7 linked regions of the Xenopus tropicalis genome follow. The protein of the gene in region 6 purifies or fractionates together with the protein of the main gene of each other region. This does not show direct contact. Links are inferred from orthologs where the notes say so. Each region holds a gene or a part of one and is shown on either strand. Other genes may lie near its edges. The genes, in order: exosc5, exosc6, exosc3, exosc4, exosc8, mphosph6 and zfc3h1.

Region 1 (4,533 bases), on a different chromosome or scaffold from region 6:
TAATGTGGCTTTATTATGGATTTCTCTGCTGACCTTGATCTCTGCAGGGCCATATACTCCAGCCATTACAGATGTGTCGCCTACAGGAAAGCAACATGGAAATCAGTTGAACAGTTAGCCTTAAGGTGGCCATACACCTTACAATTACAATCTTTCCTGCAACCATTTGTCTCAGGAAAGATCGTTCCCACCCTCCACTGGCATTCAGAGTTGAATTGTCAGATATGGAGGTAGAAACAATAAGGATTCTACCTCCACCTGACAATTAAGCCCTAAACACAGATTTTGCTCGTATAAAAGTCTTCTGTCCCGCCCGTTCCACGAGGCGACATATCCGAAGCTTTTGTGATGTTCACCTCGTCGATCCACCATACACACAGTGAATATCGTATGAAACTAGGTGCATCGGTGCATGTATGTCAGCTTTAGTCACATAAAACTACAGTAGCCAGATTACTGCCTGTGTGATATATAAACGAACCTGAATTATGAGTTTTTACCTTTCTTTCTTCTTTAAAGCAATCTCAGCAGGGGCTCAAACACAGCCAATCATAATCACAGATGGCCGTAAGTTCCACTGTGGAAATGGAAAAATTGCCTTTTCAGGCAAAGGCAAAATGACAAGCACCATGGGGGTACTAGAAAAGAACAAGTTTGTGATTTGCTGCTTGTGCAACTTAAGTGAGGCAATGCATTCAATCTACCCATTTTATGCAGTGATCTTATGGTCATGTCTTTAGTTAATGGAGGCTTCTCTGGTTATTTATGCAGTGATTTTACTGGCATGTCTGGATTTTTTTTTTTGGTTTTAGTTTTAATTTTATGATCATGGTATTTTGGGTGTGGTAAAATGTGGGTGCAGTCATACCATGGCAGTTAACTGTGTCCCTCTTTGTAGTTTTCAAATGGCGGGAGGAGCATGGCAGTTAATTGTGTCCCTCTTTCGAGTTTTCAAATGGTGATAGGTATAAAAAGGTGGTGAGTAAAACTGTACACAAGGTGGATAAAGTGATAGGTCTTGATCAATGCAGCTTGGTAGAACAGAGTTGCAGAGAGTTTGGTGTGAATTCTAAGCCACCATGATATACCTGCTTGATATCTAGGTCAATGTGCTTACACCCTTTAGTTTCTTTTTTCCGAATTAATCTATTTTTGTGTGACTGGAGAACTGCATTAAAAATTATACTGCATTAAAAATTATTAACTGGTCAAAATGCTATAAACCACCTAAACATGGTACTGGATTGCTACTTTGTAAGGATAGCTCACATTTTTTGTTGAAACTCATTTCTAATCTTTATTCTAAAATTGAATATGGTGCAGAGCCTAGGAGCCCAAAACTACAAGCCCCTATAGCTATAATACACAAGATTTTCTTTACCAACATTGATCAGTGATGTAATTTGTATAATTTACTGACTAAAACCTCCTCTGTTGTAAAATATGTGGATATTAGAAGCCACCTCAGAGTTCAATGACCTGTATTAAACCACTTGGCCTTTGGTTCTGTGCCTGTATATGGTCATGGCACTCTAAGGAGACTTCCAATACCCTTATATTTTTTAATATGGTGTATATTCCCTATATTTTGGTTTATTTAAATGCGTACACACAGGTATCATAATCACAGTGCTGTACATGACCGTTTATAGCTCTAGAGTAAGAGTATGGTCAGTCTGTCCCCAATTCAATTTGGTGTCCAATATTTTAAAGGACCTTTTCCTAAATAAATATATATGTATTTGTACAAATGAATTGTAATTTTAAGCAGTGTTATAATATGCAGGAATTAAACATGTTAAATGTTTTTTTTTAAGTAATTTCTAAATAAAATTCCAAGAGCAGTTTGTCTGCCTTTGCTATTATTTGCTACCAGACTATAGAAATAATTAAATAAAAAATGTCTCTCCTCACCACCACCTCAGTTCCTACAAATTTGCCTTGTACTATTCTTTTATTTTACTTTGCAGCTGATAATGGCAGAACAAGCAAGGCATTGTGAGATTTGGAGTAGTTAAAGGAACAGTAACACCAAAAAATGAAAGTGTATAAAAGTAATTACAATATAATGTACTGTTGCCCTATATTGCTACAACTGGTGTGTTTGCCTCAGAAAGACTACTATAGTTTATATAAGTTAGCTGCTGTGTAGCTATGGGGGCAGCCATTCAAAGGAGAAAAGGCACAGGTTACTTAACAGATAACAGATAAACCCCCATTATATGGGGCTTATCTACTAGTTATCGGCTACGTAACCTGTGCCTTTTCTCCTTTTTTCCAGCTTGAATGGCTGCCCCCGTGGCTACACAGCAGCTTATTTATATTGTAGCTTTTCTGTAGCAAAAACACCAGTTTTTTGCAGAGCAACAGCACATTATATTTTAATTACTTTAAAACACTTTCATTTTTTGATGTTACTGTTCCTTTAAGAGTAGCTGGGGAAACCAGGAGAGAGTTGCAATAAACAGGCTGAAACTTTTTTCTCAGTAACAATTGTATCAATTTTAAAATCATGAACATTTTTTATTATCCTATATTGGAAAATTGCTTAATTTACAAGTTTGCAGTTCAGCAACCACCTACTTTAGACAAATACAACACATACATTCCCCATTGCTGTCCTCTGCATTATGACAACATGGAAGAGCTGTTCCATTAAATGAGAATAACGGCCACTGGATTTACAATTCAATTTCCATCCAATGATTTAGCCGCAAAACATTTTACGCTTCCCTTCAATATGTATCCCTTGATATCCTCGTATTCCACATAAGATTTGAGGAATTATAGGCGCGCCAAAACTAACCCTGAAGAAACGTAGCGGATCCATCGGGACGGCTCAGCAAACTCTGCTCACACCCGTATTCCCGCAATACAGAACCTACAGCCTCCATCAGAACCTTCTTTCCACATGTGCAAACACTTCCGGGGTCCTTGGGGTCTGGCAACCGCCACACTTGCCTGTATAATTATACACAACAATGCCAAAGCCTTTTTTCCCAGGGAATAATAGGAAATACGCAATTCTCGCAATTTCTCACTTCAGAGGTTATTTTTGACAAGCTGTTGAATAGGGGTCCTAAGAGAAATGTAGGCAGTGGGATAGCATTCCGAAGCAAGATGGCGGCGCTGAGGGCACTTCTAAGGGTCCGGACTGTGGCAGGAGGGTGGAGAGGCGCCGGTGGGAGACAGGTGAGAGGAGTACAGGGGTCGCGTTGGTGTGAGTGAAACAGACGATAATCAGATGGAAGGGGAGTTTAAATGTTTTATTTCTAAATGCGAGACCCTGGTCTTGTATACTGAGAAGTATACACATCTTGTACCATAAGGTACATCGCATCTAAAATACTAGTATGCCTGTCTGACGTATATACATGGGAACTACAAGAACTGTTTGAATTGGGAGATGTGTTTTAAAAGTTATATGCTATAATAAACGTGGGTTATAGTTACAGTTCAGAATTATGTAAAAATATGTGATATTGCTGACTAGATTTGTAAGGAGTCAAATTTACATTTGAATTTACAGCTTATATAGTATATACATTTATATGCTTTAGCCTTAAATAACAGGTTGGTTGATTGTCTGTCCATAAACCAGCTGGTGACAACATTGTTTCAGCTATATAAATAGGAAGAATATGTTTGTATACATACTCCCAAAATGCACACACATATTTCCAGGTATATATTTGTATAGTGCTACTTGTATACACAGCCCTGTACATATCTATATATAAGTATTTGTATAAAATTGCCTGTGCTTTTGATCAGCAGTTCTGGGACTGGAATATTATAGGTTGGAGTATTATAGAAGCAACATTCTAGTAATATTCCTAGTTCTGTACTGTACCACAGTTATTGCTTACACTGTATTGGATTCTCTGTGTTTTTGCATACGGGAAAGAATATATATTTTCAAGGTGTTCTAACTTTTTTTTCATGGTGCAGTGTAAAATGTTTTTAGAAAACATAATTATTTGCAGATACTTGTAGCCTAAATTGTGCTTTTAGTTATGTGATTTAACGGGCAAGACCAAGGTGTTACGCATTAAAGATGTGTGATGCTCTGGTGGGAAAAAAAAATATGGAACCCCCTCCCCCAGCACTATACCATACATTTTGGAGCTGGATTATAATACAATGATAATGTCATGGACAGAAATCAGAGGAGCACTTTGGCCTGTAGGGGAACATAACCTCTTGAAGAGCCCCGTGGTCTGGAGCAAAACTAGATGGTTTTAATTATTACTTATTCTTGCATATTAAATAACTATTACTACAGTTTAATTAGGATATGCCTAGTATTTGTCTGATTTAACAGCTAATGTGCCATAGATTCTGTTTTGGACAGCATTGAAAGGGTTAAAGGACAGAAATATGTAAACCGGAAGGATGACACTTGAAATAAAGGCCAAATAAAAGGTTTTATCCTTAATACTAGGTGTCAAATGGAGGAGTAAAGTGAGGATAAGAGTGAGGGGGTTTAGGAGGAAAGTGACATTTGCCGGTCTTGCTGTTTGTATTAAGTCA
Region 2 (4,569 bases), about 11 Mb from region 6:
CACATAAAAGATTTTTGCATGATAATAAGGAATTGCTGATTGTAAAGTGTTTTACATTCAGTGATTTCAATTCTGATGGAAGGTTATTTTCGGTGTTATATAGTGTCCCTATAAACAAAACCAGAAGTTTTATGTAGTGTTCCTTTCCATCACAATGTGTAAAAACTAAAACAAACCAGATTTCATATAGAAGCCTTTAATGTTTTATGGTAATGCCAAGTGCATAGTTTGTTTTTAAAAAAAACGCCTATGATCATCTACAGCAGGGAAAAAAGCCTAAGGCTGTCTATAGAAAATAATTTTGCCCCATGAAAATGGAGTTTTAAACAGAAACCAGGTGGAGATTCCCTTTTAAGGAAATAAGTGACAGTAGCTGGTACAGTAAGTTCCCAGTAAAGGGATATTCTAAATGCCATAGTAAACTGAAATCAGTGTTATTTCTGTCTTTAGAGAGCAGCTGTTAAAGCAGATTGACTGGCAAACAAGTTCTGTATAGATACTATACGCCTTTCACATTCAACATGAATACAGAGCTATAATTTTCAGCTGACCATATACAGAATATAACACTTCAACAATACATTTGATCAGCCAGCGATGGTGGCTTTGTCTTCGGGTGGTCCCGATCCACTATAGAGCAGAAAGTAGACATTGCCTGCTTTGCAGCACTATTAGTTTGCCTTAGAAAGGAGAGCTGCACCCAAAGCTACGAGGATCAGTTTGTGTCAGGCTGTGGCACTGGTATTTTCCTTTTAGTGGCTTTCACTAGGCACTGGTGCAAAACTGGGTACAATCTCTGGCAGCCTTCCATGCAGAGTCTAACCGCTTCCTCCGAGCTCTCGCCTTCCCACTCTCCACTGCTAATAAGTCCAGAAACCTGTGGGTACAAGAAAACATGACTGTCATTAGGAGTTCATTCCTGTAGATTTGTAAGCAAAACTAAATATTAGCCCCCTTGCTGAAAATGTGCATATAGTACAGCAATAAGATATTACATGAAATTGTTTTCAGCAAAAAAACCTCCTTTGCATTATGTCCTATACCATTTGTTGGCTATTTAATGGAAAATAAAAATGATGTCATTGGGAATGTTATGCCCCCACTCATTACAATTACTAATCTTAAACCCCAGGCTGGAGTTCCTTTTCAACACATAACACACTATTTCTGCCAGCACTGTAATGTTCTTTAAGTCCCCAGTCTCACACAGTGGTCCATGGGAGCCTTTCATAACATGGCGGCAAAGCACTGGCAGAGCTATACTCTTTTCTGTGTCAACTTTCTTTTCCACCTTAAGTTACCCAATAACATTTCTCAAATAATGCCAAAACCTAGTAACACCCAGAGATTCCCAGCAGTTTGAATTTTTTCTCCCATTTTAATGCCTGGCAGGAAAATGTCTATTTGGCAGAATGTTTAGCTGCTTTGAGAAGCTGAACACTAAGTCCAAAGCCCAATATTAAAACAATGTATATTATAAGCAATCTAAAATCGTTACACTGGAAAGACCATCATCACCAGCGCAAATACGTGATTCCAAGAGCTGCTTCATATTAGCGTACATGGATCCAGATTTCTCTAATGCTCCCAAAGTCTATTTTTTTTAAGTCACTATGTAACAGTTTCATTCAATTTAGGCTGACAGGTTAGGCTACACTGTGCCATTAACCCACTGCTCTACAGGCTGCAAGGCGAACAGCAGTGGCTACGACTCTTCTATGCACTTTTTCAATGTACACTATTTTTAAATTCTCTTTAGTTTACATACCAGCAGTTTTACACTTTATATATAATGATATTGTTGAACAGCAGCCTATGAGCTGCAATGGAGCCTGACCAGAAAGGTACGGATAACAGCCCTCTCAGATCAATGGCATGGCACCCACCCAATGAGCAGCAAATCTTGATGGAGGTAATTGCTTAGTATAGCATTGCCCTAGGGCACTGGCACGTGGGAAGATTAGTCGCCTGTGATACATCTTTGCAATCGAGTGAGACTAATCTTCTCGAAATGCCTTGCCACCAGCAAGAATGTGAATCCCCAGTGGGTTGGCAAATTTGCTGCATCAGTTTTCCTAAGTTGCCAGAAGTTTTCTGGAGAGGCAAATGTGAAGGAGCTGCTGAAGAGAGAAGGCACAATGTAGACAGATGGTGGAATCTTAATAGATGTATCATGTAAACTAAAGAAAACAAAGAATAAGTATAAAGCGTGAATGGGGCTCTGAGCTAATATACTTTCAATTTGTTAGGGGTTAATAGCTGTACTAGTAGGATGAGGGAAAGCAAGGAGTGCAGAGCTGGTGTGTCCCACAGTAACCCCCACATGCCCAAGCACTAAGCCCCTATCTGCCCCTACACCAGAAGTGGCACACAGGCCGCTGACCTGATTAAGGGTTGGCAAGAGGCTCAGGCTCATGGTGCCCCCACTCCCAGCCTCCTCTTCATCATCATCCGGATCCAGCAGAAGCTCCCCACCGGGGCCGCGGCTTAGCCCACATCCGAGCGCCAGGTCAAACATCTCTATCCCAGCATCGGCCAAAGCCAGCGAGGCACAAGACACGGCCGCAGGCAGCGCAGAGCCGCGATCCTCCAGCACTAGGACCCACACTATCACCTCCGCTCGGGGGTAGCGATCCAATCGCACGGCCGGTTCCAGACTTTCCTGTAGTTGCAGCCCGGCCTGGCGGGGAGAGGGCCCAGCGGGGCAAGAGCCAGACCAGGGTCCGCGGCGGGAGAAGGGAGCCCAGCGCAGGTCACAGAGCAGGCGGCCCCGGGTCTCTGCTCTCTCCCCTCCCATCCCGCGCTCCCGCGGCCCATGAACTGCGCACAGCACTTTAGTGCCGCCACTCCCGGCCTCCAGGTACGCGGAGCCTTTAGCCTGGCTCAGGAGGCCGGCCCTGACAAACACCGGCCGGGGCTCTGACGGACCGCGGCCCCTTCTCCCTGCGGCTTTTCCTCCTTCTTCACTCAGTACATAGAGCAAAGGGGACTGCGACTCTTCGGGGCCACGAATACGGCGGCTGTCTCCCGGCATGGCTATGCACTGGGTGATACTATCCTACAACGTGTTTCCTCCCACCGTGAGCACGGACAGGCCTAATGCGCCGAAACACCGCCGCACAGTGGCCACTCGATGAATTTTATCCTCTGTGCCTGGAACGGGCCTTTACTAGCACAGGGGTGCCCAGACACTTTGTCACCCTGTGATCTACTATTGGGTATGAAACTGTTCAATGCACCCCTGACTTTCATATTTAGGGTGTTTTATCTGGTTACCTTATGACCTAGCAGTAGATATGATGCTATAGAATGGAAGATTTGAAGCAATTTTTCAAAAAATGTCACAAATTTTTAGAAAAAAATTATAAATTTAGGAAAGCATTGCAACTTAATAGTTTGGAGTAGACAGACAGTTTTACTTATTCTGGATTCGCCAGAATCTGTTCTTTCCAGAAATGCATAGGTTTCTAGGGTAAACCTTCTGTTAGTGGAATTTTTGGCCTTAATGTGTGCAGCTTTCTGGAGCAGTGCTTTGGAAATATGGTAGTGTACTGCTGGGAGTTTTTGACCTATACAAGTGAGAAATCTCCATAAAACTATATATATTTGGTATTGGCACGTTCAGGAGACATGGGACTTTCCAAATCAGTTGTATTTATGTGCATAAAATAATTTATGTTTCTGATATATGTGTTTCTATTACATACCCTGCTGCTGGCTGCAGCGGATCGCTCCGGCTCCGTCTCTTCTTGGGCTCCTGCTCCTTATTCGGCTCCTCGTACGGTGGCGACAGGTCCTTTTATAAGGTTGCGCCCGTGCGTACGTGTGACGTCACACGTATGCACGGGCGCAACCTTATAAAAGGTCCTGTCTCCGCTGTACGAGGAGCCGAATAAGGAGCAGGAGCCCAAGAAGTCTATGGGGGCCGCTATGTATGGGGGCATTTTCTTTTGGAGGTACTCACTATGGGGGCAATTGGGGGGCTCTGTGTATGGGGGGGGCATTGTATGGGGGGACACTGTGTAAGGAGGGCTACTGTGTATGGGGGGGCACTGTGTATGGGGGGGCACTGTGTATGGGGGGGCACTGTGTATGGGGGGCTCTGTGTATCGGGGGGCTCTGTGTATGGGGGGCACTGTGTATGGGGGGCTCTGTGTATGGGGGGGCTCTGTGTATGGGGGGGCACTGTGTATGGGGGGCTCTGTGTATGGGGTGGCTCTGTGTAAGGAGGGCTACTGTGTATGGGGGGACACTGTGTAAGGAGGGCTACTGTGTATGGGGGGACACTGTGTAAGGAGGGCTACTGTGTATGGGGGGCACTGTGTATGGGGGTGCTGTCTATTGGGCCATCGTGGGCACTATTTTAAATATTTTAAAAATGGGGTGTGGCCACAAAGTGGGCGTGGTCAAAAAATTGGAGGGGCACTGTGTATGGGGGGCTCTGTGAATGGGGGGCTCTGTGTAAGGAAGGCTACTGTGTAAGGAGGGCTACTGTGTATGGGGGGGGCACTGTGTAAGGAGGGCTACTGTGTATGGGGGGCACTGTGTATGGGGGGCACTGTGTATGGG
Region 3 (4,623 bases), on a different chromosome or scaffold from region 6:
CGCCCTAGGCAGGTGCCTCTTCTGCCTACCCCTAGTTCCAGCCCTGCTTGGAATGCATTTCTAGGATGTCACTTTCGTACGATTGCTGTCTTTTACTTTCAAAACATCCTTTAATTTATTATTTTAGGATTTTGTCCTATAATTTAAATCTTAGTTTTAGATTGTCGCATTTAAACAATCGATATCCGAACGTTCGTTAGAGGAAGACTAAAATCTGAATGTGTATGGCCACCTTAAAGGGGAGCTATCACCCTAAGAAATAATTCCAAATTAGTTGAGCAAAATAAACTTGACTTACACTACAGTCTTGGAATTACAGAATCGCAGCAAGCAGTGTGTTTATGTGATAGAACAGTGCTGTCCAACTTCGGTGCTACCGAGGGCCGGAATTTTTCCGACCTACGTGGTGGAGGGCCGATAATGGAAGCCAGTTTTGACCACTCCCCTTTTTGAAACCGCACCCACTTGAAACCACACCCGTGTTATCACATGACCATACCCATATTAATGGTTGTAGTACAGCAAAAACCTGCCATACTCTGCCTTCCCTACCCTGCCTGTGTGTGCCATACTCTGCCTTCCCTACCCTGCCTGTGTGTGCCATATTCTGCCTTCCCTACCCAGCCTGCGTGTTCTATACTTTGACTGTGTGTGCCATTCTTGGCTGGTTTGTGCCATACTTGGCCTGTGTGTGCCATACTCTGCCTGCCCTACCCTGCCTGTGTGTGTGTGCCATACTCTGCCTACCCTATGCTGCCTGTGTGTGCCATACTCTGCTGCCCTATGCTGCCTGTGTGTGCCATACTCTGCTTGCCCTATGCTGTATGGCGCACACACAGGCAGCATACAGTGACACAATTCTGTCACTGCTCCTACAGTCTGCACAATAACTATATATTAAAAAAAAAAATTATTTGCAGTACCACCTCAGTATATGTTCTTTTTGTAGTGTGCAGGGATTATTTGTGGGTTTCTACTGCTCCTACAGTTTGAGGTGTGAACAGGGGAACAATGGGGGTGATTACAGCCTGAGGTGTGAACACTGCAGGGGGTGAACAATGCAGGGACTAAAAGGTGTGAACAACACAGGGGATTACATGTTTAAACAATACAGAGGGATTACAGCCTGAATATGACGTGAGAACCATGCAGGGGGCCAGTTAATCTCAGTACTGATACCATTTAAATCTTACACAAGAGTAAGCCATCAAAGCAGCCAGACAGGTGGGGGGCCACACAGAGGGGGGTCGCGGGCCGCCAGTTGGACAGCACTGTGATAGAACGTAGGACCAGATGCCTGGGAGGGGAAAAGTAAAAAAAGCAGCGAAATCTAGGAAGTGCTAAATGGAAAGTTATTGTCTGCCCCGCCTCTATGCCTAAGGCATAGAGGCGGGGCAGGCAATACATGATTGACAGCTGGGATTTTTAAATGCCTTTATAATATTAGGGCATGGATATGTTAATAAAAAACAGAATTTGGGTTTTATGTTTAATTGGAAAAGGACTTTTATTATACAGCTTTTTATGTCTGGATGACAGGTCCCCTTTAAGCCTCAAAAAACAATAACATGTAAACAAAGGTGACCCTTGTTTGGCAGATTCATCCATGTGGCAGTATTTTGTTTTTCTGAGGCTTAAGCTAGTTATACATGGGTTGATAAAGCTGGTGACTTGCCCACCCCAGTCTAATTCAGCAGCCTAAAGTCCTGCGTAAGGGGCCCTTGGGCAGACCCTGACAGATTAAAAAAGGCCATGGCATTTCAAGTACACAGAGGCTAAACAGTCCCCACACCAGCCCAATAAATAGTGAATGTCTATGGCATTTTACGGTAGCCCCTCTGGCATTTGCCAGAATCCACAGATTGCCAGTCCAGGCCTGCTCATAGGCATCAAGTAAGCTTGAGAATCATGTTGCATGTTGAATAGGTATACTATCATTGATGCAGTCCTTTTGGTAATCTAGCATTAAAGCCCTCTTTTCTCGCTTAAAGAAGAAGGAAAGGCTAAGTCACTTGGGGTTGCTAAAATTTTAAGCACCCCCAAGTGACTTGAATCGATTACCTCGTACGCCGGGCTGGTGCCCCTGTTAGGAGAAAACAGCACCAGGCCAGGGCACCTGGGGCGATGCGCTTCCTCCTTTCGGCTTCGTTAAGCTGCGACTCCGAGTCCGGCGCATGCGCAGTAGAGTGAAAAAGCCGCCTTCAGTTCGGCTTTTCACTCTACTGCGCATGCGCACGCGAAGGAGGAAGCGCTGCAGCTACCCCAGGCTGGTGCTGTTCTCTCCGTACAGGGGCACCAGCCCGGGGTAAAAGCGATTAAAGTCACTTGGGGGTGCCTAACATTTTGGCACCCCCAAGTGACTTAGCTTTTCCTTCTCCTTTAAAGTTATGTCAAGACCGCAAAGCTTATGTTAAATCAGTGATCGCCAACCAGTGGCTCCCGAACATGTTGCTCATCAACCCCTTGGATGTTTCTCCCAGTGGGCAGTCTTGAATTTCTGGCTTAAGTTGCATAAAACACAAATGAAGCCTCCTATAGGCGGCCAAATAGTTAATCGCAGCCCATATTTTCTGTTCAAAAGGGTAAAAAAAAAGTTGGTGATCCCTTTAGTAAATGAACGCTGCCCACCAGTTAATACTGCAGGAAAACAAAGGATAAATGACCATTTAATAACCAAATTGCATTAGGAGTTGGATTTTATAGGTGCTTCATAGGTGAGTAATGTGCTGCACATAAAAGTACTAGGAAAAAAGCAAGTATAATTGTGCCCTAGCACCGAGACCAGGCGTTCCCAACACACAGAAAGAGACCATTACCCGCTTTTGCTGAGAATCAACCCAGTAGATTGCCGGGTCCCTGTGCCGCAGGAGCCCACACTTATTCACTAGCAGATCATCCTCCTGCCGCATGAGCCCGGGGCCACACACAACCCGGGGCCTGTTAGATGTAGAGGGGCCGCTCAGAGACAGAGGAGCATCCCGGGACTGGGTAGAAAGAACAAGCACATCCCCAGGCAGAACGATCTGACCGACCGCATCTTCAATACTCACGGCTGACATGCTGCTATCAGAGCGGAAGTGCGTCTGCCTACTACACTTAGCACGTGACGGTAATACACCAATAGATTTGCAAGGAAGCAAGTACTGGAGAGCTGGGCAAGGGTTCGAAAAGCGATTCAATTCTACTCAATTCAATTCTTTTGTTCCGTATAGTGCAGTGTTCTGGCTGATCGCTAGATGGCGGCAGTGTTCTCTTTTTGTGTTTTCTTTTCCCAAATCGCTGCCAGTATTTATTTTTCTAACCTGGCCCAATAGTATTTAGGAAAGTGACTTGCAGTCTGTGCTGATCTAGTCATTGTCTTCTTATGCAATAAATAGTGACTTCAACCCACTTACAGTGTTAGAAATTGCCTGTTGGGTGACATATTTGTATGGAAAGGCAATGCTGCCATCAGAAATTATGGGCAAGTTTTTTTGTCTGCCACCTCTTCCCAAAATTATGTGCAATTATAAAATTCATACTATCTTTAAAAGTGCCTCGTTTATTGGAGCTCCCTATAGATCAGGGCCCCCCAACCTTTTTTACTAGTGAGCAACACAAGCGCAAAAAAAGCTCTTTGGGGATGCCAAATAAGGGCTGTGATTGGCTGTTTGGTAGCCACATGTAAACTGCTGGCCTGTAGGAGGCTCTGCTTGGAGTAAAATGTGTTTCTGTGCTTTCAAATCATGCCTCCAAGCCAGAAATTTAAAAATAGGCACCTACTTTGAGGTCACTGAACATCAAAAGGGGTGGTGAGCAACATGTTGCCCCCAAGCCACTGGTTGGGGACCACTGCTATAGATCCTGGCAGGTCCTTATCTGTTTACCTCAAATTCAGGCTGAAATCCCCTGCATTATTCATCAAAGTACAAGTTCAAATTCCAAATTGAGAAAAATTTGGATTAAATACAATAATTTCTGATGACAGCAAATATCACAAACATGCTTACAAAAAAATCGTATTAGTCACGATAATATCTTATTGGCGATCCGAAAGTCACAATTTTCGTATCTGAACGATCGTAAACAGCAGGAAAACCTTTCTGACATTGATCCTTCTGTGCATGATTTTGGAAGCCTCCAATAGGACTCAACGGCACTCTGCAGCTCCAACCTGGCCCAAGGAAAGTCTCCCATAGGGCTCAATGGCACTCTGCAGCTCCAACCTGGCCCAAGGAAAGTCTCCCATAGGGCTCAATGGCACTCTGCAGCTCCAACCTGGCCCAAGGAAAGTCTCCCATAGGGCTCAATGGCACTCTGCAGCTCCAACCTGGCCCAAGGAAAGTCTCCCATAGGGCTCAATGGCACTCTGCAGCTCCAACCTGGCCCAAGGAACGTCTCCCATAGGGCTCAATGGCACTCTGCAGCTCCAACCTGGCCCAAGGAAAGTCTCCCATAGGGCTCAATGGCACTCTGCAGTTCCAACCTGGCCCAAGGAACGTCACGATACCAAAGCTTGAGTGAATCCGAAAAGTTCGTACTCGGCGCAACAATACAATTTTGTCGCACAAATTTTGTCGCAAAGTACCAAAAAGTCGCAGAAAATACGCACAGTACAATCAAATACAAATTTTTTGTAATTCG
Region 4 (4,669 bases), on a different chromosome or scaffold from region 6:
AGCCACTGCACCTTTCACAAGCTCTAAACATCTGCAATGTAGGACTCTAAAGCCAATGACTCTAAAGTAGCCCAAACAGATGGAGCCCAGAACTGTTCCTATTAAAGCAATAATGTCATGGGAAAACATGTTTTTTCAAAACCCATCAGTTAATAGAGCGTCTCCCGCTGAATCCTGCATTGTAATCTGTTTTTCCCATGGGGCTAGCCATATTCTTCATTTCCCAGGGTGCCACAGCCATGTGACCTGAGCCCTAATAAACTTCAGTTTCACTTTACTGCTGCGCTGCAAGTTGGAGTGATATCCCCCCCCCTCACCCCCAGCAGCCGATCAGCAGAACAATGGGAAGGGAGCAAGATAGCAGCTCCCAGTAGGTATCAGAATAGCACTCAATAGTAAGAAATCCAAGTCCGGCTTGGGACTCCTCCAGTTACATGGGAGTAGGAGAAACAATAGGTTAGCTGAAAGCAGTTCTAATGGGTAGCGCTGGCTGAAAGCTCAGACTCAGGCACACTTTACTGCTGCGCTGCAAGTTGGAGTGATATCCCCCCCTCCCCCCCAGCAGCCGATCAGCAGAACAATGGGAAGGGAGCAAGATAGCAGCTCCCAGTAGGTATCAGAATAACACTCAATAGTAAGAAATCCAAGTCCGGCTTGGGACTCCTCCAGTTACATGGGAGTAGGAGAAACAATAGGTTAGCTGGAAGCAGTTCTAATGTGTAGCGCTGGCTGAAAGCTCAGACTCAGGCACACTTTACTGCTGCGCTGCAAGTTGGAGTGATATCCCCCCCCCTCACCCCCAGCAGCCGATCAGCAGAACAATGGGAAGGGAGCAAGATAGCAGCTCCCAGTAGGTATCAGAATAGCACTCAATAGTAAGAAATCCAAGTCCGGCTTGGGACTCCCCCAGTTACATGGGAGTAGGGGAAACAATAGGTTAGCTGAAAGCAGTTCTAATGTGTAGCGCTGGCTGAAAGCTCAGACTCAGGCACAAGGCACTGAGATGGCGCCTACACGCCAATATTACAGCTACAAATACATTTGTTGGTTGAAGAATAAAAGGTTAAATGGCAGAGGGAATTATTTGCTGTGTAACAGTGTCAGTACTATGAATCTACAGTGAAAGGGAAAATGTAAATGCTCAGTGGAATGTTCCTTTCCTGGTTACTATGGGGAAAACCCATAGGTGAGTAGGCTGCACAGTGACAGGGGAACATAATATATATATATATACAGTTTCTGCTCAGTAACATGGGAAAATAACAGTGTGAAATAGGAAACATGGCTCAGAGCCCAACTGGGCCGCACAATAGCGCCATAGGGACCAGCAATAGGAATTAGCGCCACTTGTAACGAACTGAGGTAAAAGCGCAATTCTACTACACGAAGTAACTATCACTTTGGCACCGCCCCTTTATGTGACGTGGAGGCGGGCACCCAGACACTTCCGGAAAGAGGAACGGAAAGTGGCGGCGCGGTGGTTTCTGGGAGTTGTAGTTTATACCGTGAGAACGTGGTGCGGGATGGCGGGGCTGGAGCTGCTGTCGGACCAGGGCTACCGGGTGGATGGCAGGAAAGCCGGGGAGCTGCGCAAGATACGGGCCAGGATGGGAGTGTTCGCTCAGGCCGATGGCTCCGCTTATATCGAGCAGGGGAACACCAAGGCCCTGGCTGTGGTATATGGGCCCCATGAGGTGAGTGCTGGGGCCACACGGACGGGCTGAATGGCTCAGAGGCATTACTATAGGGGAGAGACCGCTGGGTTACTTGGGTGGGTAAGTGGGTGGCACAGTATGGGGGTGGGTAAGTGGGTGGCACAGTATGGGGGTGGGTAAGGGGTTGGCACAGTATGGGGGTGGGTAAGGGGTTGGCACAGTATGGGGGTGGGTGGGTATGGGGGTGGGTAAGTGGGTGGCACAGTATGGGGGTGGGTAAGTGGGTGGCACAGTATGGGGGTGGGTAAGTGGGTGGCACAGTATGGGGGTGGGTAAGGGGTTGGCACAGTATGGGGGTGGGTAAGGGGTTGGCACAGTATGGGGGTGGGTAAGGGGTTGGCACAGTATGGGGGTGGGTAAGGGGTTGGCACAGTATGGGGGTGGGTAAGTGGGTGGCACAGTATGGGGGTGGGTAAGGGGTTGGCACAGTATGGGGGTGGGTAAGGGGGTGGCACAGTATGGGGGTGGGTAAGGGGTTGGCACAGTATGGGGGTGGGTAAGGGGTTGGCACAGTATGGGGGTGGGTAAGGGGTTGGCACAGTATGGGGGTGGGTAAGTGGGTGGCACAGTATGGGGGTGGGTAAGGGGTTGGCACAGTATGGGGGTGGGTAAGTGGGTGGCACAGTGGGGGTGGGTAAGGGGTTGGCACAGTATGGGGGTGGGTGGGTAAGGGGTTGGCACAGTATGGGGGTGGGTAAGGGGTTGGTACAGTATGGGGTGGGTAGGGGTTGGTACAGTATGGGGGTGGGTAAGGGGTTGGCACAGTATGGGGGTGGGTAAGGGGTTGGCACAGTATGGGGGTGGGTAAGGGGTAGGCACAGTATGGGGGTGGGTAAGGGGTTGGCACAGTATGGGGGTGGGTAAGGGGTAGGCAAAGTATGGGGGTGGGTAAGGGGTAGGCAAAGTATGGGGGTGGGTAAGGGGTAGGCAAAGTATGGGGGTGGGTAAGGGGTTGGCACAGTATGGGGGGTGGGTAAGGGGGTGGCACAGTATGGGGGTGGGTGGGTATGGGGGTGGGTAAGGGGGTGGCACAGTATGGGGGTGGGTAAGGGGTTGGCACAGTATGGGGTGGGTAAGGGGTTGGCACAGTATGGGGGTGGGTAAGGGGTTGGCACAGTATGGGGGTGGGTAAGGGGTAGGCAAAGTATGGGGGTGGGTAAGGGGTTGGCACAGTATGGGGGTGGGTAAGGGGTAGGCAAAGTATGGGGGTGGGTAAGGGGTAGGCAAGTATGGGGGTGGGTAAGGGGTTGGCAAGTATGGGGGGGGTGTAAGGGGGTGGCACAGTAGTAGGGGGTGGGATAATGGGGGGGGTTGGCACAGTATGGGGGTGGGTAAGGGGTGGCACAGTATGGGGGTGGGTAAGGGGTTGGCACAGTATGGGGGTGGGTAAGGGGTTGGCACAGTATGGGGGTGGGTGGGTAAGGGGTTGGCACAGTATGGGGGTGGGTAAGTGGTTGCTGCTGGGATACTTACCCTGCCTACACACGGCTGCCTGTGCCCACTGCTAGTCCCGCCCCCATACCCCAGTTCCATGTGTAACGGTGCCCGTAACGCTGTGCCCACAGATCCGCGGCTCTCGCAGTAAAATGCTCCACGACCGCTCAGTGGTGAACTGCCAGTACAGTATGGCGACCTTCAGCACCGGCGAGAGGAAGCGCCGCCCCCACGGGGACCGCAAGTCCAGCGAGATGACCCTGCACCTAAAGCAGACGTTCGAGGCCGCCATCCTCACCCAGTTGTACCCGCGCTCACAGATAGATATCTACGTGCAGGTGAGTGGGAGGGGCATCAGCCAGTGGGTGGGGCATCGGCAAGTTGTAACAATAGTGCGGGGCTTAAATAGGGGCTGTTTCACTTTAAATTGACCTTAAAGGGGAGGTTCACCTTTGAGTTAAACTGTTAGTATGAGAGTGATATTCTGAGGCAATTTGCAATTGGTCTTCATTTTTATATTTGTAGTTTTTTAGTTGTTTCACTTGTTCAGCAGCTATCTGGTTGCTAGGATCCAAATTACCTTATCGACCAGGGAGTGGTTTGAATGAGAGACTGGTATATGAATAGGGGAGGGGCCGAATAGAAAGATAAGGAATAAAAAGTAACAATAACTATAAAACTGGAGCCTCACAGAGCAATAGGGTTTGGCTGCCGGGGTCAGTGACCCCCATTTGAAAGCTGCAAAGAGTCAGAAGAAGAAGGGAAATAGATAAAAAACTATAAAAAATATAAATAATGAAGACCAATTGAAAAGTTGCTTAGAATTGGCCATTCTATAACGTACTAAAAGTTAACTTAAAGGTGAACCCCCCAAATCCTTTAGTCAGTGGTCCCCAATCTGTGGCCCTTGGGCTGTACTAAAATTCCCAGCATCCCCCTGGCCACCAAGAGTAGTTCCTGGGAGTCACTATGTGGGGATATCTCAGTGGTGCATGTATGTGGTATCTTGGTGCTGCCATACTGGCTCCCGTGTTGTGCTGCGCTGGATATGATCACATGACTCTCCCTGCCCAGATCCTGCAAGCAGACGGGGGCAACTACTGCACATGTGTGAATGCCGCCACCCTGGCCGTGATCGACGCCGGCATTCCCATGCGCGACTACGTGTGCGCCAGCTCGGCGGGCTTCATCGAGGACACGCCCCTCGCGGATCTCAGCTACGTGGAAGAAGCCGCCGGAGGGCCCCAACTCGCCCTGGCCCTCCTCCCCAAGTCGGATCAGATTGCGCTGCTGGAGATGAACTCGCGGCTGCACGAGGATCACCTGGAGCGGGTGATGGATGCCGCGAGCAAGGCGTGCAAGGATGTGTACGCTGTCCTGGATCAGGTGGTGCGGGAGCACTTACAGGAGCTCACTACCCTGCTGGGGGACCGCACAGCAGCTTGAATCTGATTGGCTCGGCTAGTTTGGGCTTCCTGCCCAGGCAACTCACTCGAATGACGATCTACTTTCTCTCAGGA
Region 5 (4,026 bases), on a different chromosome or scaffold from region 6:
TGTGGCTGTCTTTGGCTCATACAAAATATAATATACAATGTTTCTCCCTTCCTCCTTTAGATAAAAGTTAGTTCTCCTTTAATGTGGTGAACTGTGTATTTACTACAAGCTACATATGTTGTGGTGCTAAATATTGCACATTAATGTAAGGGCACATCCTAAAGTGAAATCAAAAGTGTCCTTTCCTAGACCAGGCCATTCTGGTGGGAGTGGATAGGGAAAAAAACATGAGGCAAAATGATCAAACAGCGAAGCTTGAACTCGCCACAGTCTGTAGCATCACAGAGTGGAATTCCACCACTATCGATTTATGTCTCTGGGATGTCTCAAGCTCTAGCTGTTCAGGATCCCATTCTTTATAATGCAATCTGCAGCTCCCAAGGTGTCACTGCACTATAATCCCAAGCAACCCATGACAGCTTTTGGCCTACTGGTGGATGCTAAAAGTGGTTGTTGGAGCCCATGCCAATATAATGTGTATTTTGCCTTATGATACTCTCCCACTGCTGCAGTCAATACAAATATTTACAGCAAAACGAGGGTTTCTCTTCTTATGCACTGCTTGCAACTGCCACCCTGCAGGTCCCTGTGTGGAGCCTCTGCTTGGGCCTCATTTAAGGCACCCTACCTAGGAACAAACATGTTCTGTTGGTAGAATATACATTCCAGCAGTTGTGCAACGAAGGCCCACAATTGGAGCTGCCTGTCCCTTCTGGGCCCCATGGAATGTTATTAAGCACTATACACAGAAGATGGTCTGTAGAAAGCTTTCCATTTATTCTGGAGGATAAAACAGTTTGTCCTTAGTCAGCAGTTATTTTATTATTTGCCTGTTTATAGGCATTATGAAATATTTATGGACATTTCAGTAGGATTTGCGGTTGATGAACTCACGTTGCTCTTGAATGTCACAAAATTGACTATTATTAGTATCTAATGGTGCCTGTGCCAATGTTATTGGTTTCCCTCTGCAGTAAGATTGCCATCTGTTAAAATAAACGAGGAGACTGGTTTAGCAGAAGTCAATTTGAAAACAAAACATGCTCTGAAAATCCTGAAACACCCCGTTGCAACATCATTTGCAGTATTTGATGAGTAAGTATTTGAAGTCCTTTGCTAAAGCTAGTGAGGCTTGGGGCTATAGGGCAGTGATGTTCTGAGTAAGTGATGAGACCCTCTACCGTTTTTTTATATGAGTTTTCACTGGAGACACCAGCTCAGAAGCTTGTGAGAGGATTGGGGGTGGGCACTGGGGAAGTTGAAGCCTGGTCAGCCATTGGCGCCAGAAAGCCTGGGGGAGAAAGTCAAGCAGCCTGACATGGGGGCCACCAACCCTGCCTGTTATCATGAGTGACAGGGCGTGCAGAGCAGTATTGGGGCACAGGTTGGATAAATGGGTTTTAACTGTGGTGACCACAGATTGCCTTGTGTTTGATGTCAACAGGTCAATAAAGGTCTGTTTTTTTTTTTTTGTTTAAGCTCTGTATACAGTTATATGTTTTTGTCCATACAGACAAGATAGGCATACGTGAACACTACATTCACTTTAACGTAATAACAATAACACTTCAATGGGACCTTCACTTCTGGGAACATCATTAAAGGTGCAAGTCCCTTCAGCTTCAGAGCTGATTACGGACAGGCCTTGTGATAAGCAGAATCACTAGTGTATTAGTATTCTCATGGGGATCTCTACTTTAAAATAGTTCTATAAAATATAATAATGGCTCCCTATACAGTATGCTGGTCCCATCTTGTGACCGATTAATCACAGAGGTAGGTGTCGGAGGCTGAGGGTTTGATCTTGTGTGAGGAATGCTTACTCTCCATCACCAAACCTATTGCACTGTCCCAGATTACGCATATAAGTGTGTTATTTTCTTTCCTAGCACATTCCTTCTGGTGGATCCCACAGGGGAAGAGGAGGGCTTGGCCAGCGGACTACTCACTGTTGTGACTGATGAAGATGAAAGGTTATGTGCCACTCGAAAACCAGGTACATCTACAGGCGATGAAGAACAATGGCTGCTTTGCTTTATAACCAGCTGATGCCACTGGGACAGTTCTCTCCCAACCATATGTAAAACAGGACATACATTGTAAACCCTGTATGAACTTAGAGAGATGCTTGTTAATAAGAGCGAATGTGTTTGTTTGTTTGTTTTGTTTTTGTTACTACACCCATGGTTTGTTGGGCAAGTCATATTTTTCCTGATGCCTTGGAGTACAGCAAGAAAAAAAAAATCTTGAGGGATAGGTAGATAATTAAACCTTTAACCTTTCCTCTGTAAGTGTAGCTTGCCACAGATGCAACCTAAATGAAGAGTGTTCACCCAGCTTGGCCTTCAGGCAATATCTGAATTAATCCTATGCAATTTATAAAAGGGCAGTACAGCTCATTTTCCAGCATCAGCGCAATGTTAGTGCTAAATATACTTTTTACCTGTTGTTTCAATTAAGAAATATCTATGTTATTATTTATGCTCTAAACAGAACAAAATCTGAACCTGAAAGTCACATTCTCCTTCCTGGTTTTGTACAAACAGTCAAAACAAATCATTAGTCTATTGAGAAGCCTCTGTATAATGAGATACTCCTATTTAAAAGCCAATCTAGTCTGCAGCTTAGGAGAAAGAAGGCTTTTTAAAACTACCTTTTCAGAACCAGGAAGTAATTGTGACTTTTTTTACTTTTAGTCTTTGTCCTGTTTAGTGCAAGAAATAAAAACAATTCCAATGTAAATATAAGACTAATTTCCCCACACTTTTAGAACTAAGATTATCGGATGTGCAACAAGGCTCCTTGTGTGTTCTGTGGTTTCACTGTAACCAAAAATAAAGTCCTGGAATCATTGTGGCTTGCCCCACTGAAATATTCTGCAGTGCAGTGAATAGGAAGGTCAGTGGTTAGGCCATAAGCCAGCAATTCTCCCTTGGTAAAGCTTCTTGATCAGGCTGCTCACTAGGTGCCGGGGTGTTTTGTTAAGGGGCACAAATTTGAGGGATGAACTGTGTGTCCCAAAAATTGATTTAGTAACATTTTTTTTTTATTAACCATTTTCTATTGCAGATGAAAGTTGACTGTAATTAGGGGGGGTAATCGTGGCCCACCTTAAACATTGGAACCCATATCCTGACCTATAGATTACATTTCTATGTGCTTCAGCTTTGTTTCTTACCTTTTGAGTGAAAACAGACATTTAAGAAATACCATTTTTTTGTTTGTGTATCTCTTGGGGAAGAGTGATGCATTCTTGTTAAAAAAAGGGGGAATTTTCATGTTAATCTGTAATATATTAACTTTTTTTTTTTTACGCAAAGGTGGGAGTGCCCTTGCAGCAGAGAAGCTCCAGGAGTGCATCAGTCGAGCCATCACGAGACACAAAGAGGTGACGAACCTTCTGCAAGAGGCGCTGGCCAGTGTCAAGTCAGAATAAGTAGGCATATTCATTTTAAAAATGACCATGTAAAAAGTTGTATTTGTTACAGTGATTGCACACCTTTTGTACTAAATAAACATTACCATGGCTACATTTACTCGCTACAGTTCTGTCTCTATGGGTGCAGCGTCTCAGTCTCCTCCTCACATGGATGCAAGTTAAAAATCTTTCCCCCCCCCCCCACCAGGTTTGTGAAGGCCCCCAGACCACTAATAATGTATGTCCATTTTAATGCACATATAAGTCAGACATCTCTTCACAAAGCTCGTTTGCAAGTATTCGTGTAAGAATAATTTAAAACAGTTTTAAAAAAATAGTAATTGGAAGGCAATAGTCGGTTAATAATTCTGCTCAAAGGTGTGATATGGAGTTCAAGGCTCAGGGTTTTGCGTCAAATCCGGCACTGCCCCTCCTTTTACTTCTTGATTGGCTGTCGGAATGAGGCAGGGGCGGGAACTGGGCTGCTTGTGCTGCTGTTGCCATAGCCATTTGATGATGCAAGAATTGCAACTGTCAATGCAAGGTGGAGACAAAGGGTTAAAGCCATTTCAACATATGTTAAAGCTGTACACCGTGCTAGGGTTTTA
Region 6 (4,218 bases):
GGTGCTCCTGTTCACTAAAAACTGCATCACACTGGCATGCTACGCTAGGAGATGTTATATGTGTAAGGAGGCAGCTTTCAAGAGCCTAAATACAAACCATGGAAAAAAGTACAGGTAATAAAAACAGTATTTCTCCAGCTACAGGGTCTGCTTACTCTATACTATATAGTTATGCCAGTGCATAAACCAGATATATATATATATATATATATATATATAAAAAACACTACTTAATCTAACTTCTAAATATTCTAATTTTGAAATAGGAGAGGTTTATATAAAGGTATTGGGTGAATACCTCCACTGAATTGCTTAAAAAAAAAAAAAATTAAGCACTGGTGCATTGTGTATGTAACCGAAATTTGTATCTGACTAAAGGAACAAACACAAGCGAGACTCTTTTAGAAAAATATATTTAATTAGCAGAGATGAATTCATATTTGAACAGACCAGATATCATTTACATCACTTGTAAAGCTATAAAGACCTGTTTTTCTGCATCAAAAATATAGTTCCTGAAAGTGTATTTCTGCATAATGCACCAGTGGCAAAATTCCTGTATTTGCAGGGCTACAGAAGTATGAAAACACAGACCACCTAAGGAGCACTAAGCAGATGGGTTGCGCCAAACTCCAGTAAGGAACAAAAGGGGAAACCTGGCTTCTGGTGACCCATAGGCAGTCTGGTCTATGTTCAGGCAGTATCCGTGAAAATACAGCTCAAGGAAATGGAAAAATGTTTATCATTAAGAAATACACTTTTTGTTTATTCCACCGTCATTTTTTTTTTATAGGAGAATACTGAAAACCACAGTTCATTTCTTTTTTTTTTTTTTTAAACAACATGCTATTGAAACACTTCTTTCATAATGAATGACTGAGCACTTAGAGAAAACAACCGAACAATGAAAAAGGTCAGCCCTAAAGCTGTACATTTCTGAATTCCTAACTGCAGAAATGTCATTGCTTTCTCCTCTTGCACAATGCTTAAATATATATCAAAGTACTTTGGAAACAAATTTGTAGAATATTAGGTACAAAAGAAAAAATTTAAAAAAGAAACAAAACAAAAAAAACTGCTCCTGTTTTACATAAATTACAAGAAATACAGATAAAACATAAAACAAGGTAAGCAATCATAATATAAAATAAACAGGATAAAATGTTCACTCAAATAAAAACCCAGAGATCATACTCTCTTACAGCACTGAAACAAGAGCATTTCACCAGCAACTTTTCGAGACCTCAGCCAGTGCATTTATGCAACATTTAGTTACCCTGGCCTATATCAATTCATTTTTTACTTTGAGCAGTGCACAACAGTGCCAGTTCAGGACTTGGGTGATGCATTTAAAACATTTAACAGATGATACTTAGATCCATAAAAAAAAAAAAAAACATACTGTAATGGATGCTTTTTTGGGGGTAGTTTAATTCCACCTATGTAGTCTTTCTAGCCTTTAAATCAATTTTTGTCTTTCTAGTGGAAAAAATGACTTCTCATTATGACAGGTGGAATTAAAATGATAAAAGGAATCTTTTCACTACCACAGGAAAAAAAAGAAATTCCTTACATGAATGCAAAGATCTTAAAACAAAAACATATTATCCTCAAATATAGTTATGCACATAATTAATATAATCAATGGCTGATATGTTTTAGAATGCAGTCTCTAAAATGTATACCATCAAAAGTAGCAAGTTGTTAAAACTTTAAAATGAATGATATGAAGGTAGAAATATAAAATATCCATCGTGTGGAAAGGTAGAAAAACCACTAGTCTTCCATAACAATAACAAACAGAAGTTTTCCAGACAGTTAAACCTGTAGCTATTTAATCTTGTGGCTTTAGAAAAACTTTTTGTACTTTGCTGCTTCTAATGTTACAGTTTTCATCTTCTCCTTCTTCCTTTAGTTCTTTCTGATTCCTTTTTTTCGTAAATTTCTTTTTGATGGTGCCCACTAATGACTCGTATCTGAAAATAGGTAGAATAAGAATTACTTTTACTCATTAGGACTCCATGGTAGTTTATGTTAAGGCTTCCCACTGATGATACAATTCCAGCTTTAGACAAAATTAAAGGCACTAAATGACAGTAAAGGAATAGTAAAAAGATACAGGCTTTTTTGGTTCACTCTCCTTTTAATAAAGGTCTGCTGCAAGGCTAGAAGTATGTTTATTGGACAGATTTTTAACCTGCTATAACTTTCTAGCTATTAAGATTTGGAAAAATGCAACTTTTTGCCTAACATACTAAAATGTTTGGGAGTATTACAAGGAAGCTACCACACAAACACATTCTAATACTTGCTACAGAGGGTGTTAATGTAAAACAATTATCCCTCACACATGAATAACAGTAAAGTGAATCCAAAGACTTCTATGCTACATTCACTGAAACTAGAGAAGGTGAATAGCCATTTATATTCACAATACAGTTGATACACTATTCCTTACAGAGTTGCCTTCTTTACCACTCCCTACAGAACTACAAATTAACCTAAAAAGAATGATTATTGTAATAATTCAAGAGATATGATAATTTCAAATAAAGGTGGAAACTAGGGGTAAAACAAACAAGTATGACTTTTAGCAATTTTTTGCACCATTTCTGGAAGTTTCACTTTGGAGTGGGGAGGTATAATAAAAAAATCTGATGGGAGACTAAATATTTTCCCTTTGTCAGTCAATTGCAGAGCTACTAGGGGTAGTTGACCCTAAAGTTAACTTTTAGTATATTACAGAAGGGACAATATTCTTAGCACCCATGTTTTATATATTTTGAATAATTTCATTTCTTTTGACTTTCCAGCTTTTAAATGGGGGTCACTGACCCCAGCAACAATACACTATTGCTCTGTAAGGCTACAATTTTATTGTTACTTTTCATGAGTTAAGTTTCTGTTCAGGTCCTCTGCTATTTATACTCCAGTTCCTCATTCAAACCATTGCCTGTTTGCTATGTTAATTTGGACACTGCCAACCAAATAGCTGGTGAAATTTCAAACCGGAGAGCTTCTAAACAAAATGCTAAGACATTTAAAAAAAAAAAAAAATCACAAATAAAACAAAAAGACCAACTGCAAACTGCCTTGTATCATTACTACATTCTCCTTACAGTTAATTTAAAGGTGAACAACCCCTTTACCTAAATGCACAATTTTTTAGTACTAAGGAGACCTGTTGTTCTGAACGTTTACTTAAATTAGTTATCCAGTAATTGTACCATGTTACTTAGTTCCCCTTCTTAAAGGAGACATATAGGATAAATGGTAAAAACCCTAATTTTGTAGGCAATATACGGTGCTGGTTTCCCTTTGGGCTAAAAATTAATCCTCTCTGTAACAATGGCCCCTTTATTGGAGCTCCCTATAGATTCTATAACTTCTCCATCGGAGTTTGAAATGAAGAGTGGGCGTGTCCTAACAGTCCCTGCCAAAAGCACAGTAGGAGGGGGGATAGCCAATCACAGCCCTGCACTCACACAAGCACAGACAGGCTTCCCAGCTCATCCAGAGAATTCAGCTAGCAGGAAGTGGAACAGATGGGGCGGGGCTAGTGGGGTTTTGGTGGAATTTCTCAATAAATCAGCAGGAAACACAACTTTTTAAAGCACAATCCTTCTATATCTAGAGGAGTATAATTCACTGGTACATTTATAATTTTTATAGGATATGTCTCCTTTAAACGGTCTACAGCCAACATGGCAAAATCTCTCCCTACCCTTGTTTGAGGTCAAAACACTAAAAGAGATCTCACCTTCGTGCCATTTCTTCATCAGACACATCAACATCCATTGTTCCTTCCTCAACTATCTCTTCTGTCTTTGTCCTTGAATTCAGCTGGGTCATTAATTTCTAAAACAGTAATGCAAGACATTATAGATCGGTTCTATTGTACAAAGTTTTTTATTGTTCCTAGGAATATATTTACAAATTGTTATATGCGATTGAAATGGTAAATAATGGTGGAGCTGGTTAATGGGCATGTTTGCAGATATTTTTGATTTTTTAGAATAACAAACATAACATTCACAAAAACTAAACTAAAAAGCACTGCCATTTTAATCATCAGAACAGTCCAACAGTATGGTATAAGCCTTGGCAGAAAAAAGTTATGTATGCACAACAGATGCTAAAGAACAGCAGAAATTGGAACAAACTCAACCTAATAAAATTTACAAACCTCAACCTCAGTGTTAAAACCTTTGAAGGACA
Region 7 (3,297 bases), on a different chromosome or scaffold from region 6:
CAAGTCTGGCTTCCATTATCGGCCCTCCACCATGTAGGCCAGAAAAATTCTAGCCCTCTGAACCACAGAAGCTGGACAGCACTGCCTTAGACTGTTTGCTTTTTCCTCCACAGTTTATTGCATTTAATATTAAAGCAACTTGCAACCATTTTTTTTTTACCAGACATACTGTAAATTTCTATCATCAACTATTACAATCATGATCCACCCTATTAAAATCATAAATACATTAGTAACGTATTCAAGTAAGAGGAGTAAAATACCCACAGGTATGGTTATTTACTTGCTGGGTATTTGGCCGGCTATATATTGGGGTCTATTTGTATTCAGTCATGTACTTCAAGCCATGTTCTTTTAGTCAAAAGCCAAGAATACTCCATATCTTTGGTTTTGACTTTTACAGCATAACATCACACAAACATCACATGACCATGAATTTCAAAGCAGAGACTGGAATGAGCTGGTATAAAACTAAAAGGATTAGTGCAGAAGTGTCACATGCCTATGAATTAACCACACCTTATATGTAAACACAAAAAAAACCACGCACCACAACTTTTTTTTTTTTTTTTAAGTAGTTATATTTAAAATATTGTATAAACAGTTTTAATACTACACACGGTAGTATTATAATACAAAACATTTTCATTATATACTGTACTTTAAACTGTTAAACTTTATTATAAATTAAACTTGACAAAGAAAATAATTGCACATTGTAATTGACCACTCTTCAGTTCTGATGCACTAGCATTTGCAATATCTTCAAGTTTAACAGTCTCAGCTGAGTCCAAAATGTAGAAATGTGAAACAAAATAAAATAAATAGGGATGGGGAAAAAAACAACCCTCAAGTGCAATTAGCAGACGGACGGCCTTAGCAGAGAGGTTTCGCTTCCGACCTGCTGCTCTTTACTTTATCTACAATGATAGTAATGTATGTTTAATATCCCGCCCTTGTTGTTTTTAAAATGTGAACTGACCAAATTCTGAATCATTTTGAATGAGAGACTGATTGCTCTTGTAGTGTAAACAGCAGGCTCTGTAATTTACACCAGACACAGGGGTCTCACAGGCATCAGTGAGAGAGAGTCAAGCAAGTTAGGAACAGCACAACAAAAGGGGTTTTTTCAAAATAAATGGATGGGGTAGGGAGGAGAATAAACACAGACAGAAACAATAAAACAGCAGTCACTGATGAACTATACTTACGTATATGATGCAAAGAATCTTGTTGGGCCCAGAAGCAGGCCGAATTCATTTCTCCAGTTTGAACATGGCAGTATCTATATTCTGGGTTACCATAACACCCTTGAGCCGTGGCAGTACTGCCTTGCAAACACTTGGGATGCTAATCCTTATCAATCTGGCATTTAAAAATAAGACTTTGGCCTGACTGCACATTGTTCAGCGACTCCTGCTTTCTGTGTTTATATTTAAGAGCTCATCTAGGCTGACTCCAACCTCTTGGCACTTGGAAACTAGTTTTCTCAGGTTATCTGTTTTACCTCCTCCTGATGCTTCAAACAAGAGTTGCTGAAAAAGAGGGGGATGCAATATATTATTAACACTTAATTTGAAATTCACCTCATTATTGGACATGGCAAAGAACCTCCCCCCCATAACCAAAAACAAAGAACAAGCAAAGACATTACATCTTTCCATAGGGCAGCACATAGAGGCATCTTCTGCAGGGCTCTTTGATAGAGATGGTGGACCTGTAAAATATAGTGCATTTCAGAGATATATATATATATATATATATATATACCCACACACACACTTAGATCTAATGAATATATACTATGGGGTGATGGACTTTTAAAATGATTATAAAGCAACATAGTTTTTTTGTTTATATGAGTTTATAGCTTAATCAATTTAGGGTGTCAAAACCTTTTTCCCCCAGTAATTGTTAGGGTGCCAAAGCAATTTAAAAGTAAAACATACAGGTGAATAGCTTGTAGCACAGACTTGTTAACGCCAGAGTGAGAAAATATCATGAGATCAAGGAGAATTCACTTTTAGCCTTGATCATATCCTATTGTCAATGGTTAGTCCATGAGTCTTGCCTCCTTGCTAGGCAGTACCCTGAGTTTTCATATTCTCCAAGTAGATTAAGACAAAGTGATTGTCATCTACTTCAAAGTCCTGAAACAGGCAAGCTGCTTCTTTAGGATGCAGAAACAAATCATCTCACCTCTTTGGGTTCTTTTAGAAAAGTTTCCACAGCAATGGCTCTATTAATAAAAGAAAATAAACACATCAAGGGGTTTGTGCGAGTGTCTGAGCATTTCTTTAATGACATTTCATTTTGTAAATTAACTGCTGGGAAGGAAAACATAGCAGAAGGGTAACCATAAAACTGTATGAATAGACTTTCCCGTTATTCTTGAAGATGTTAGGCAATTGCCCCACTGTCTGAGAAACATTCAGAAATCAACAGCATGATACATACTTGCACTCTTCCCACACAAACAGTTTAGAGATCATTACCTGCATGCTAAATAGTTAATGAAGAACAACAAAACAAGGAATTTGTACATTACATTTTCCAGATGGGCAGGCACATTGGGAAATTATATGTAAACATCTTGGATTGCATTTTCACATTCTCATTATTGTTCTCCTCCAATTCTTGTTTTAGTACCCTGAAAAGGTAAATGACAATTGGTTGTGCCAAAAATATTATAGCACTGAACACACTTAATAAGTTGGCCTACTTGCCAAAAAGGAAAACAGAATCTAGAATAAATTAATGGTGATAAAGATACAGAATTATTTATACAGTTCAGGTAAATATGTTCCGCTTATGGTAGCTATGTAAACGGAATAACTGAAATTGCAACGCAAAGTTAAGTACTGATCTGTAAGTTAGGGCTAGCGCCCACAAAGAATGAACTATAACCAGAGAAGAAAGATACCATAAAGCTAAACCAGCAATATATACTCTCCTGTACCAAGTAAAATTATGCTGACAAATCCAAAATCCAACGCCTTGAATTTGCAGAAAGAATTACATTAATTCTGTCAATATGTGAAATGTAAAAAGACTGCAACTGTGGGACTTATTACATACCATGAATTATATTAAATTAATCTATGATCTCTCAGTTTATCTTTATGCATCTTTATACATTCATACCCTGCCCCCTTTTTTCAATCTAACACATTTTATATAGGAAGAGTCATTTACACAAGTAAACAAAAGCTGACCTGAGAGCAAGTCCAAGATTTGTAGGCATCATGGTTAAAAGTTGATCCAAAATTTTTGAATGCTGCGCCTTTGGGATACAAC

Evidence for each region.
Region 1: the proteins of mphosph6 (region 6) and exosc5 purify together in Homo sapiens (affinity purification with mass spectrometry; 6 studies listed by BioGRID and IntAct, with this or other methods). This does not show direct contact. The link is inferred for Xenopus tropicalis from reciprocal best matches to the Homo sapiens genes MPHOSPH6 and EXOSC5.
Region 2: the proteins of mphosph6 (region 6) and exosc6 purify together in Homo sapiens (affinity purification with mass spectrometry; 3 studies listed by BioGRID and IntAct, with this or other methods). This does not show direct contact. The link is inferred for Xenopus tropicalis from reciprocal best matches to the Homo sapiens genes MPHOSPH6 and EXOSC6.
Region 3: the proteins of mphosph6 (region 6) and exosc3 purify together in Homo sapiens (affinity purification with mass spectrometry; 6 studies listed by BioGRID and IntAct, counting the BioPlex papers as one, with this or other methods). This does not show direct contact. The link is inferred for Xenopus tropicalis from reciprocal best matches to the Homo sapiens genes MPHOSPH6 and EXOSC3.
Region 4: the proteins of mphosph6 (region 6) and exosc4 purify together in Homo sapiens (affinity purification with mass spectrometry; 7 studies listed by BioGRID and IntAct, with this or other methods). This does not show direct contact. The link is inferred for Xenopus tropicalis from reciprocal best matches to the Homo sapiens genes MPHOSPH6 and EXOSC4.
Region 5: the proteins of mphosph6 (region 6) and exosc8 purify together in Homo sapiens (affinity purification with mass spectrometry; 4 studies listed by BioGRID and IntAct, counting the BioPlex papers as one, with this or other methods). This does not show direct contact. The link is inferred for Xenopus tropicalis from reciprocal best matches to the Homo sapiens genes MPHOSPH6 and EXOSC8.
Region 7: the proteins of mphosph6 (region 6) and zfc3h1 purify together in Homo sapiens (affinity purification with mass spectrometry; 3 studies listed by BioGRID and IntAct, with this or other methods). This does not show direct contact. The link is inferred for Xenopus tropicalis from reciprocal best matches to the Homo sapiens genes MPHOSPH6 and ZFC3H1.

The regions. Positions count from the first base shown.
Region 1 is NC_030684.2:79,502,084-79,506,616, forward strand, and holds the start of exosc5 (exosome complex component RRP46), read right to left. Parts: upstream 2,925-4,533; 5' UTR 2,895-2,924; coding exon 2,807-2,894; intron 81-2,806; coding exon 1-80. Other genes in the region: bckdha (2-oxoisovalerate dehydrogenase subunit alpha, mitochondrial), read left to right, coding at 3,121-3,192. UniProt on the Homo sapiens protein: Non-catalytic component of the RNA exosome complex which has 3'->5' exoribonuclease activity and participates in a multitude of cellular RNA processing and degradation events.
Region 2 is NC_030680.2:74,926,331-74,930,899, reverse strand, and holds exosc6 (exosome complex component MTR3), read right to left. Parts: upstream 3,058-4,569; 5' UTR 3,035-3,057; coding exon 2,384-3,034; intron 878-2,383; coding exon 716-877; 3' UTR 191-715; downstream 1-190. Other genes in the region: aars1 (alanine--tRNA ligase, cytoplasmic), read left to right, coding at 3,134-3,218. UniProt on the Homo sapiens protein: Non-catalytic component of the RNA exosome complex which has 3'->5' exoribonuclease activity and participates in a multitude of cellular RNA processing and degradation events.
Region 3 is NC_030677.2:113,707,488-113,712,110, forward strand, and holds the start of exosc3 (exosome complex component RRP40), read right to left. Parts: upstream 3,152-4,623; 5' UTR 3,060-3,151; coding exon 2,817-3,059; intron 1-2,816. UniProt on the Homo sapiens protein: Non-catalytic component of the RNA exosome complex which has 3'->5' exoribonuclease activity and participates in a multitude of cellular RNA processing and degradation events.
Region 4 is NC_030682.2:151,308,642-151,313,310, reverse strand, and holds the start of exosc4 (exosome complex component RRP41), read left to right. Parts: upstream 1-1,519; 5' UTR 1,520-1,523; coding exon 1,524-1,694; intron 1,695-3,280; coding exon 3,281-3,487; intron 3,488-4,223; coding exon 4,224-4,595; 3' UTR 4,596-4,669. UniProt on the Homo sapiens protein: Non-catalytic component of the RNA exosome complex which has 3'->5' exoribonuclease activity and participates in a multitude of cellular RNA processing and degradation events.
Region 5 is NC_030678.2:151,674,907-151,678,932, reverse strand, and holds the end of exosc8 (exosome complex component RRP43), read left to right. Parts: intron 1-974; coding exon 975-1,095; intron 1,096-1,889; coding exon 1,890-1,996; intron 1,997-3,320; coding exon 3,321-3,436; 3' UTR 3,437-3,532; downstream 3,533-4,026. Other genes in the region: supt20h (transcription factor SPT20 homolog), read right to left, coding at 3,818-3,949. UniProt on the Homo sapiens protein: Non-catalytic component of the RNA exosome complex which has 3'->5' exoribonuclease activity and participates in a multitude of cellular RNA processing and degradation events.
Region 6 is NC_030680.2:63,902,322-63,906,539, reverse strand, and holds the end of mphosph6 (M-phase phosphoprotein 6), read right to left. Parts: coding exon 4,187-4,218; intron 3,859-4,186; coding exon 3,761-3,858; intron 1,977-3,760; coding exon 1,835-1,976; 3' UTR 822-1,834; downstream 1-821. UniProt on the Homo sapiens protein: RNA-binding protein that associates with the RNA exosome complex. Involved in the 3'-processing of the 7S pre-RNA to the mature 5.8S rRNA and play a role in recruiting the RNA exosome complex to pre-rRNA; this function may include C1D.
Region 7 is NC_030679.2:59,900,195-59,903,491, forward strand, and holds the end of zfc3h1 (zinc finger C3H1 domain-containing protein), read right to left. Parts: coding exon 3,216-3,297; intron 2,651-3,215; coding exon 2,549-2,650; intron 2,240-2,548; coding exon 2,200-2,239; intron 1,718-2,199; coding exon 1,655-1,717; intron 1,536-1,654; coding exon 1,407-1,535; 3' UTR 576-1,406; downstream 1-575. UniProt on the Homo sapiens protein: Subunit of the trimeric poly(A) tail exosome targeting (PAXT) complex, a complex that directs a subset of long and polyadenylated poly(A) RNAs for exosomal degradation. The RNA exosome is fundamental for the degradation of RNA in eukaryotic nuclei.